3 linked regions of the Oryzias latipes genome follow. The protein of the gene in region 1 binds, or shares a complex with, the protein of each later gene. Links are inferred from orthologs where the notes say so. Each region holds a gene or a part of one and is shown in the gene's direction. Other genes may lie near its edges.

The links.
Region 2: gtf2a1 (region 1) and polr2b share a complex: the UniProt entries of both Homo sapiens proteins name them as parts of the TBP-based Pol II pre-initiation complex. The link is inferred for Oryzias latipes from reciprocal best matches to the Homo sapiens genes GTF2A1 and POLR2B.
Region 3: gtf2a1 (region 1) and gtf2h5 share a complex: the UniProt entries of both Homo sapiens proteins name them as parts of the TBP-based Pol II pre-initiation complex. The link is inferred for Oryzias latipes from reciprocal best matches to the Homo sapiens genes GTF2A1 and GTF2H5.

What each region holds. Positions count from the first base shown.
Region 1 is NC_019882.2:4,167,573-4,170,849, reverse strand, and holds the end of gtf2a1 (transcription initiation factor IIA subunit 1), read left to right. Parts: intron 1-66; coding exon 67-348; intron 349-1,339; coding exon 1,340-1,429; intron 1,430-1,944; coding exon 1,945-2,052; 3' UTR 2,053-2,638; downstream 2,639-3,277. UniProt on the Homo sapiens protein: TFIIA is a component of the transcription machinery of RNA polymerase II and plays an important role in transcriptional activation. TFIIA in a complex with TBP mediates transcriptional activity.
Region 2 is NC_019868.2:3,851,856-3,856,209, reverse strand, and holds the start of polr2b (DNA-directed RNA polymerase II subunit RPB2), read left to right. Parts: upstream 1-1,467; 5' UTR 1,468-1,583; coding exon 1,584-1,602; intron 1,603-2,712; coding exon 2,713-2,785; intron 2,786-3,086; coding exon 3,087-3,237; intron 3,238-4,354. UniProt on the Homo sapiens protein: Catalytic core component of RNA polymerase II (Pol II), a DNA-dependent RNA polymerase which synthesizes mRNA precursors and many functional non-coding RNAs using the four ribonucleoside triphosphates as substrates.
Region 3 is NC_019882.2:9,073,210-9,076,124, forward strand, and holds gtf2h5 (general transcription factor IIH subunit 5), read left to right. Parts: upstream 1-1,474; 5' UTR 1,475-1,615; intron 1,616-1,828; 5' UTR 1,829-1,891; coding exon 1,892-1,926; intron 1,927-2,026; coding exon 2,027-2,207; 3' UTR 2,208-2,332; downstream 2,333-2,915. Other genes in the region: protein SERAC1, read left to right, coding at 72-215, 297-433. UniProt on the Homo sapiens protein: Component of the general transcription and DNA repair factor IIH (TFIIH) core complex, which is involved in general and transcription-coupled nucleotide excision repair (NER) of damaged DNA and, when complexed to CAK, in RNA transcription by RNA polymerase II.

The sequences.
Region 1 (3,277 bases):
TTTTTTTTGTGGGATGTTGCTCTAGGTTTACGTAATGACTCTGCTCTCATCTCTGGCTGCCGCCAGGTGATGCAAGCAGCAGCGATGGCGCCGCAGCCCGGCCAGGCAGCAGCAGCTCAGGTCCAGCAGGGGGCAGCTGTGGCCGCTGCTCAGGCCCCAGCCCAGCCGGCAGCCCCGCAGCAGCAGCCTCAGGCCCAACCGCAGGCGCAGCAGCCCGCCATGATGGTGCAGCTGGATGGAACTGGAGACTCGTCCTCTGATGAAGACGAGGACGAAGAGGAGGAATACGACGAAGATGACGAAGAGGAGAAAGATAAAACCGGTGGGGAAGACGGGCAAGTTGAAGAGGTGAGTGTTGAGCCAGTCCAGGGTTTATGGTGTTTTTAACATGTTGTTGTGGCATTTATAACGGAAATTAAGCTTCTAATTGTATTTCTGAGCATTTCACAGATGATTCCTGTCATAATTTGTGATCCCCAAGACGATTAAAAGTCTATTTATTCAGTTTGAACGATCCAGTTCGCTGATCTAAAACAGATCCATCTTTAGCCAAAACTTCCACTAGTGTGACTTACCTGAGTACTGAACAATACCTGAGTACTGAACGGCACCTGGGTACTGATATTTGAGTGTAAATTAAATGTGTACAAACATGTAAACAACAGTTGATTTCAAATCAGATTACATTTTAGTTTCTTAAAGTTTGGACCACTAATGTTTTTCCACATCCAGGTAATCCAAAGGGAACATTCTAGCACACTGGATGGTCACATGACTTTGCTAAATTGAGTGTTTCCACTCATTGGACCGGAATGATGGAACCGATCGTTTTTTGCTGACATCATGTCTATGTGATGGTCGTTTTTTACATTGTAGTGAAATAAACCTGCCAAGTCTCAATCCAAATGGTATTTTCTAAGATTGAGTATTCATTTCATTTTGAAACATTTTTTTATGGTGTAGGGCGTTTCAATGAACAACTTGCCTCGAAGAGATAAACCTGGATGGATCTTAAGATAAACCTATTAAATTGATCGTTTTAATCGACCAACAACTGCGGTTTAAAAAGATCGTATTTGTGACGTAGATAATACCTCGAGCTTCCTGCTCCAAGTCCTCTGCTGTGGGATGAGGTCGCTCCACGTCACTGATCCCGCCCACAACTCGGAGGCAAATTTCTAATGAACTTTTGCCGCCCTGCAAATTTTTTTTTTTTTTTTGGGGGGGGGGGGTTAAAAGCTGCGTAATAATTTTTAAAAGACCACTGGGAACGCTTTGAAAATCGATCAAAAGATGATTGGAGTGGATCTTTGAAGTCTTTGGGTTTTTTGGTCACCAGGAGCCTCTGAACAGTGGAGATGATGTCAGTGATGATGAAAACCAGGAGCTGTTCGACACGGAGAATGTCGTGGTGTGCCAGTATGACAAGGTAGGAGATGAGCGTCAAGCTACGTTCACGTTTAGCCATCGGTGTTCACACTGGACTGTCGCTACCGGTGCACGCACTCACCGTTGGAAGAGGCTTGGTCTGAAATGTTGAAGCAGTGCAAATCTTTGCCCCAGGCCTTTTTCCTTCAGTCTGATGTATGAAAGACTTGATGTGACGTCATTCTAGCCGAGCACAAGCCACAGTTATTGATTACTCCCTCATAATCAATTAATCAAAGGGTTGGCACTTCCATGTTTTGAAAAGGACGCCATCCATACGTCCCTACTAAAGCAGAGTCAATTGGTTGAACGTTCAGCGTGCGTTCAATTGTTTCCTTGACTTAAAAACGTGTAGCGACCCGTGAATGTGACAGTTTTGACCGCGGAAGCCCAAAAGGGTTACTTAGACTTTTTCAATGGAAGTGATCGGCGGTGTAGCATCAGGGTAAGCTCCAGCAGCATCCCTCTGTTCTGAACTCTCCCATTCTTCTCCTCCTCCTCTTCCTCGCTCCTCAGATCCACAGAAGTAAGAACAAATGGAAGTTCCACCTGAAAGACGGGATAATGAACCTGAACGGCAGAGATTATGTCTTTTCCAAATCCATCGGAGACGCCGAGTGGTGAGGCGGGGGAGACGGGCGAAGCACGAACTCCTAACTTGTTTTTATCCAGCAAACTGATACTTCAGCGTCCTTTCACATCCTGCGTCCGAACTCCTTCAGGAAGGTAAAGCGAGAGTCTTTGAGAACTCATCCAACCCAAAGGATTGCTGTAAGACATGACACGTGGAAAAACACTCGACCAGCGTTTACGGGATGAGAAACCGACAGGACACTGGAGAGCCTGTGAACAGAGCTTTTTTGGTTTATTTTTCCCTTTAAGGCTTCTGCCTTCTTCTGACAAAATTCCCCCAAAACAGTCATTTCATGTCGTACAGGTGTTGCGGACCAGAAGGAACTCTGCGGTCTCTCATAACCCGATAGACACACATTTTTAATGCACTGTAATCGGTCGACTGGATTCATGGAAGTCCAAACTTAGTGCCACCAGTCAGAACCGCTGCCTTTTAGAATGACTCAGCTTTTTTTTTTGGTTGTAGTTTTGTTTCCATGTGAAAAATGAAAAATGGTGCTCCAAATTGTTTTATGTAGTCCAATCTTTTTAAAAAATTATCTTTTAGCGTCAGATCCGAGGCTCCTGGGAAAAACAAGGTACAAAAACAATCTTCAAAAATCAATTTTAATCCACAGATGTTTAACCCCGTTTTGCTGGAGCTTCATTCCATCTTTTTTTTTTTTTTTCAAAAAGCCCCAAAGTTCATTTTGGGATTGCATAGAAGATGTGAGGCTGCCACGCCGGTGTATCTCCGCTCTTCCTTTAGTCAGCTGCAGCCGTGGGAGGACTTGCACTGTGGGTTTATCGACGTCCGTGAGCTCAGTCAGTCCAGGAAATCCATAGCAGCATCAGCAGCAGCGAGGTCTCTTCTGTTCATTTGTGTGTGAGACGCGGATCGACGGTGCAGGCGTGCGATAGCTGCAACATACGTCTTTCTTTTGCACACCTTGCAGTCTCAAAATGCCAGTCACACTAGAGAAGGGGAGGGGTGCGCATCATCTATTTATTGTTAAAAGTTCACGGGACGTTCTTGGAAAGATCTGAAAGCCGCACCAAACTGTGCTCTTATTATCCAGTAAGTGTTCCTTTTTAGTTTTCTTCTTCAGCTGGACAAGCGCTACATAAATGTTTTTCTGTCTTATTTTACGCTAAACTTTTTTTTTTTGTATCAAAGGTGAGTTTAACTGGAGGGGGGGGGGGGGGGGGGGGCTGTGTGTTTGTTTCTGCAGTTTGA
Region 2 (4,354 bases), on another chromosome or scaffold:
TTTACCATGACTCGTGATTTCTATCAATGTTGGACTTCCACCCCCTGCAGCTTTACACTAAACATCAGTTTTGTAAAAAGGAATTCTGTATAAATGGTTGAATCCCTTCCTTTCTGTGGTTCTTGGTCCTCCTGCAGCGTCTAGAGTGGCATTCAAATCCATCACATCACGTCCTTCACATGAGCTGCAGTTGATGGTGGAGTTCTCTCTCTTCTGATGTGTCAATTATGAAAAATACAGTTCTAGCTAACCCAGATTATCTACAAAGATTAGAATTGTTCTGTAGGTGTTGGGAGGGGGATTAAAAGCTGCAACAATAGGACCGTTTGTGATGACTAAGCTTTTCCTCATCAAAGACTCCATTCACTGATGGTACAGAAAATAGATCGTTATAAAACTCTGGTTTTACATAAAATTCCCAACAGTACTAGAAAAAATAAAATCTCATTTTTAGACAATCTTTCAATCAATAGAAGAGTTTCTGCTTTTCCCTCCACTATGTAGCAGAGGGTTGTAACACTTACAGGCTACGTCTGTTTCAGATGGATCTGGATTTATACGTTATTTGGGTTCTACCATCTTCTTTTTTACAGAAACACCTTAAAACCTCTGATAGTGAACTTAAATAATGTTAGGAAAACGGATCAGATGTAAAACCTGCTGCATCTCTGCTCATGTTTTACTAAAAGCTTCACTTTCTGGATGTTTGTCAATTTGTTCAAATTTACTGTTAATTTTAATCAAACATACTTAAAATCCTTTCAAAAAAGTCCTGTGACTTCATTATTTTCTAATCAACACAGAGGAAAGGCTTCCGGCAGGAAGTGAAGTCCACTTGGCCTCTTGTTAAACTGCAGTGATTATTTTTTTATAGTTAATTTTATGATTCATTTTAAGTATTGAAATCATGGAATTATACAATAAAGAACAGAAATCCAAAATTTAAACAGATTAAATCCATTTCAGATAAAAAGTAATAATTGATAAGAAAAAAGATGTAATGAGATGATGCTATCATATTGACAGTGTGTTTATTCATAATTATAAATAGATGCTTTGCATTAATGCATACAGAACACATGCACGTTACATTAGACCATTAAGATGCACTACCAAGCGTCATTGATTATCAACAAAAACATTAGTTATAAGTTCACACATCCTTATATTTGGGATTTACATGAACACAAAATGACCTGTAAGTCCTCTCATCTCCATATTGAGAAACAAAAGTTTCCTTCTACAATTTCTTGAATTTATGGATATTTAAACATTGTAAGTTGAACACTGATTGAAGGGAAAACCTAATGATATTAGAGTAAAATGTTAAGTATCTATAGTTAGCTTTGATGTCTGATTTATTATTGTTACATTTGTTTTACTAACTGCACTTCGCACACTGCTGTTCTTGGCCTCAACCGCAGGGGGCGCTGTCACAGCAGATGACCGCCAAACACCGGAAACCCCGCAGAAAAAGAAGAAGTGTTTCCGGGTCTCTGTGTCAGGCTGCGCGCCGCTTCTCCGTGTTTTTGTCTTCTTTTTTCTGAAGCCGTCTTTGTTTTGAGGGATTTTCGGAAGCCATCATGTACGACCAGGACGAAGGTGAGGCGCGGATTCCACGCAGCGCCGTTAGAGCTGCGCGTGAACGCTCACGCATGGCGAACGTCTCCTCCATCCATGATCATGATGTTCCATGTTGTTCAACCAAAACCTGTCTGAAGCTTCTTTGCATGCAGCAAGTTTCTGGAACCGGACTTTCTGTAGTTGAACAGACTCTTAAAACCGAGACGCACGTAGTAACCAGGGGGGAAAAACACGCGTGGAAAACGAGCAGACTAGGAAACACGCAAATAACTTTAGTCAGTCCGGCTGGGGGGAAACATTAGCACTTTGTCGCGATATTTTGAAGTATTTTATGCCAAACCAGAAATGTTTGTTCACCAATATGGTCATCATTGAATAGTTGGAGAATTGAAGAAGAAGAAGACTGTTTTCTGGGAATGGGCCCACCACCCTCCCTGGTCAGTGGGATGCTGTGGGAGGTGACTGCCGTGCAGGAGCAGCGCCGCTCCACAGCAGCAGGAGCAGCAGCTGAGTGGCTTTAACATCTGTTCAGTCTGTTTGTTAACCTGTAAACACGCTCACTGATTCTGGTTAAGTGACTGTCCGAATAATCCAAATCTACAATTCCAAAATCCAGATCGCTAGAAATTTCCCAGAAGTCTCTGCGAAAAACCAGTGTGCCTTGATGGTCACTTGATTGGTGAATTTGGACCACAATGCATTGCGTTTGAACAATTTTTCATTTGAAAAAAAAGTATTTAAAGGAATTTCTATTAACCATCATCATGATGATGATGATGGTCATCATCAAACATGTTCAGATTTACGTCATAAAATGTCATATTTGCCATAAAAGAAAAGCAGTAAACATGGCTTTAATTGGCTTTAATAACCAGGGCAATAGATAGTTTTTTAAGTAGTTAGGATGTAGAGAAGGAATATGAACATAAACCCTCACTCCCTCTGTCATGATAACACAGTCATATACAAACAAACCTTTATTTGCAGTCCAGACCGATGACGGACACCCACCAAACTAACTAGAGCGTAACCCTAAGGAACCAACAGCTCAGTGTTGATGACCAGCTGCTGTCAGTTACCTTTAATGTCTTAGTGTGGATGTGGCCTCATCATTTCTGTGTCTGTTAGATAACCAGTATGATGAAGACGATGATGAAATCACCCCAGATCTGTGGCAGGAAGCATGCTGGATCGTCATCAGGTAAGCTCACCTGTCAGGCCCACTGTGACAAAACATGAGTGGGTTTCTGCTGCCGCACACGCAGCAGTCACGCAGTCACCAGAGCGTTCTGCATCAGAAACCCAAACTGCTGTTTAGATAGAGTTCAATAAAAAACAAAGGAAAAGTTGAACCTTTTTCTGATCATCTTTTACACTTTAAGCCTCTTCAGTCATCTCTTTTAATCATCGGTTCTGTGAGTTTCTGGTGCAGGATGTGACGCAGACGGTTCTGATCCGCTGCAGCTCTCCGAGCTCTTCCTGAACTGCTGTCTGTTCTGCAGCTCGTACTTCGATGAGAAGGGTTTGGTGCGGCAGCAGCTGGACTCCTTCGATGAGTTCATCCAGATGTCCGTGCAGAGGATTGTGGAGGACGCGCCTCCCATCGACCTGCAGGCTGAAGCACAGCACACGTCAGGGGAGGTGGAGGAGCCGGTGAGTCTGCGTTGGCTGGTTTGGGCTGCAGGTCCTTCAGTTTTAGTAGGAGCTTCTGATTTTTATGCCACATCAGGGCTCCAGACTAACTTTTTTCACTAGGAGCACTGTGGCCCCTAACTGAAAATTCTAGGGGCGCATACCGTAAATCAACATGCTAACCAAATCTATTCATTTCCACTGTATTACTAATAAATACTTTAATAATAGATGCAGAAATTAAAATGTGCTGTTTCAAATTCAGTGTCACATTTTATTCTTCACTTTTGAAGATGCAACAAGAAGGTAAACTGACAGCACCATCGCTGTCATGACAGTACAAATAGTAAAGAAAACAGATGGAAATTTATCTTTGTGACACCAAATAGGTGCAGCCAAGATGCACAATAAGTGTGTTTGAGATCACCCAGGTGAACTCAACGCTGCACAGATCACCTGGTGTGAGACATATATTTTTGTTTTTGCTCCAACATCAACTGTCAATCATCACAAAAATATCGCGAGAAAGGGGTGGGAGCAAGGGGCAAACCTACCCGGACACAGCTGGAAACTAGAGACTACAAAACAATGCATTATGGGACATGTGTCCTGATGGTTTTTGTAGTGGAGTGATTAATTAAAATAATTTAAAATACCAATTCATTAAAAAGGCTACATACATCACAAAACATTAAAATAATCATAAAATATATAATAACACAGATCATACTAAGGGGGAGAAGAATATTAAAACTAAATTGAATGTTAAGGACAACTCCAACTGTTGTCCTTCAGTCTTGCTGCAGATTCGCCTTCATCTCACAGTGCCCCCCCCCCCCCCCCCCCCCCCCCCCCCCCCCCCCGCCTGGTCTCCCTAACGATCCAGGCGAGGTGCCGGTTCATCTCAAACACGTCTATCGTTGCATTTTCCCCACGTATTTTCAGTGTGTCTAAAACTAATCTTGTTTTTGCTCGAGCGTGTTTAAAGTTCAAGCCCCGTTAGCTGTCACGCATGTAGGTGTGGGACATTTATTCTCCTCAGCTGACCCGAGTCCCGCGGGACGGGAGCGGTGTGCTGCCGTAACCCGTTTGATGCACCGCCGTGACCGTAACCAAAACCTAAACCTTCCTCCGGGTC
Region 3 (2,915 bases), about 4.9 Mb from region 1:
GCAAAATAACTCAAGGATTTTTTTTGTCAGTGCAGGATAGTTATTTACCAACATTTTTCATTTTTGTCAAGATTCACCAGCTTTGTCCAGTCTGAATGAAAGTTTTGTGAACATCGCAAAGGAAAATGACTTTAAGGTGATGAGCTTCGCAGAATCGCAGGCCACAAACGTCGGACCTATGATCAAAATAGTTGTGGTGCCAAAACAGTCCGCAGGTATGCAACACCAGCGTCAATAAGAAATGAGGTATTCCTCTGTACTGTAGATGGAGATATGAAAGCCTGGTTTCGTTTCAGACCTCGGCATCGGAGAACTCGTCGAGGTAAACGTGGATCACCTCAACATCTGCAAGCCAGAGAAGAAGGATTCGTTTCTGTACAAACGCAGCCTCCAGTTCATCCAGGAGGCCTTGCAGAGTTTTAGCAGCCAGTGACTCTTTATCCGCACAAAGACAATGATGCAGACTACTGCATACTTGAACTGTGGAGAGAAAAAATATGCACATGCCCCCCTTCCGGGATGTCTTTTGTTAAACATGAACAAATAATGTGAAGTGTGAGGGATCACTCAATATTTAGACTAACTTAAATGAAAACTTTCAGCTCTGATAACGAGACTTATTTTTAACTCACTCCTCATGAATAACTTAATTGTAAATCGGATCACTTTTGCAAATAATATTTTTACAGTTTTTTGTCATGTTTAGAGTTGGAAACAGATTGTTAATATTTTAATTATTATTCTGAGATGTAATACTTACGTAAATGATCTGTAATATTCTGAAAAGAATTTCTTCCCCGCATTTATTTTTATATTTGAGAGTTTTATCCCCCAAAAAGCACAATGTCAGTCATAATTGGTGCCAAAATGTATTTCTTTTCCTAAGCCTTACCATAGACTCCTCCTTGTCTATTTAAAAAAACATTTATTTTTTTTAAGTAATGATGTGATTGAATTTTGCCGTAGCACAATTGCCACTAAAAATTCCCATCGCTGTCAATAAATTACTGAAAAATCTCAGTTTCATTTGTGTTTTTGCTAAATATTAAATTAGGGTTTTTACACTGGAAATATTGCTTTTTATTTTTTACAGCCTACAATGCTGTTTTTTGGGCAATATAAGTTAAGTTTTAGCCAAGATTTTGCAAAATAACATTTTGATAGCTTCAGTTTAATTTCCTTTAAAGTTTTTTGCGGAGCAACTTGGTTAGGAATCAAAAACTAAAAAGGAAGCTCTCTATTCTGGTATACGTGATCGTTAGCTTTGATTTTAAACCAAAAAGATTTTTTAAAGAACTTCTAAATCCTGGGAAATGTTTTGGTAATCTTATTTATTTATTATGTTTGTTTCCATGTCAATGAAAGTAACTTCTGCAAGAGTACAAAATCCAAATAAAAAATAAAATAACACTCCACGATTGAAGCTAGCAGCAGTGCGCATGCGTTGCATTGTTGTTGTCGAAGCACAGAAAATTGTCCCTTGACCCGCACCATACAGGGACATGTAGCATCGTGTTAGGAGCCTAGAATTTGTGCTAATATTCTGTCATACATTTACCTTTTATAAAAAGGAATTCTCTTACTTCCACTAACATCTTTCCCGGAACACAGACAGGTTTGTTATTTTAGTGTTGTTGTTTTTTAGCTTTGGTGTATTTTAAAGCATTTTATAATTGTTTTTATCTGAGTCTTGTTTACCTGTGATGATTAGCTTTAAAAAAAAGCGCGTCACAATGAGACTTTTTAACCTTTAAAATCTGTATAGACTTCAAAAACAAACGTTCTATTTTGACAGAGAATTCTTGTTTTACTTGTTTTTATGCGTCAGGTTAAAAAATCCTCGCGTTAAGTTAACATCTCCGCTAAACAAAGGGACCGTTTCTTCGTGAACATGGTGAACGTTCACAAAGGCGTTCTCGTTGAATGGTAAGTAAAGTTTTAACAAACATTATTTTTTTAACAAGTTCTGTAAATTAACATTTTGAGAACTCAATTGTGTCTGATGGGATGTGTTTTATTGAATTAGTGACCCCGCCATGAAACAGTTCCTCCTTTACCTGGATGAGACCATGGCTTTAGGAAGGAAGTTCATCCTGAAGGACCTCGATGACACCCACGTTTTCATCCTGGCAGAGGTGGTCCAAACCCTGCAGGAAAGAGTCGGAGACTTGATGGACCAGAATTCCTTTCCCATCACGCAGAAATAACCTTTGACCTTTCCTAAGGATAATCTTTTTGTTTTGTTTTTTTGAGCTATGGAATGACTGGATTTGTTTCTGACATGCTTTAAAAAAGATCAATAAATTGGATTATGGGTTACATATAACTATCATTACTTGTAGTGATGTAGTTTGTAATTATACCTGCATCCATATTTTTATGGGTATTGGGGTGAGAAAATTTCCAGAAATTCTTTAAAAATGTAAAATATATCTAGCTGTGGTGGTCACGATGCATATTTAAACCCTAGGAAAACTGTACTAGGACTTATTTAAGTTAGTATCCCTCTGCCAGGTATACAATTTTTAAATATTTTAATATTCAGTTTTTAAGACATTTTCATAGACACTTTGCTTTATTTACAAGTCTCCTTACAGCCTCATGTACAAGCAGCACATTTTACAAACACCTGAAGAAAAATCATCTTAAACATAAGTGACATTCCCTTTGAAGAAAAAAAACACAAAATATACACATTTTACAAATTCATAACTCATTTATGAGGAAAAATAAAATGGAAATGCAAGGCACCGTTTAGAATAAAACATGTATTTGTACAGATCTGTTTTTTTTTTTAGATAATTGTAAAATAAACTTATCTGAATGTGCAGTATTTGGAAATGTGTTTAAAAAAATTAAGGAAAATTGTATCATTAAAAAAATTATAAAGGCTAAATTTGGCCATTAATCTGTAA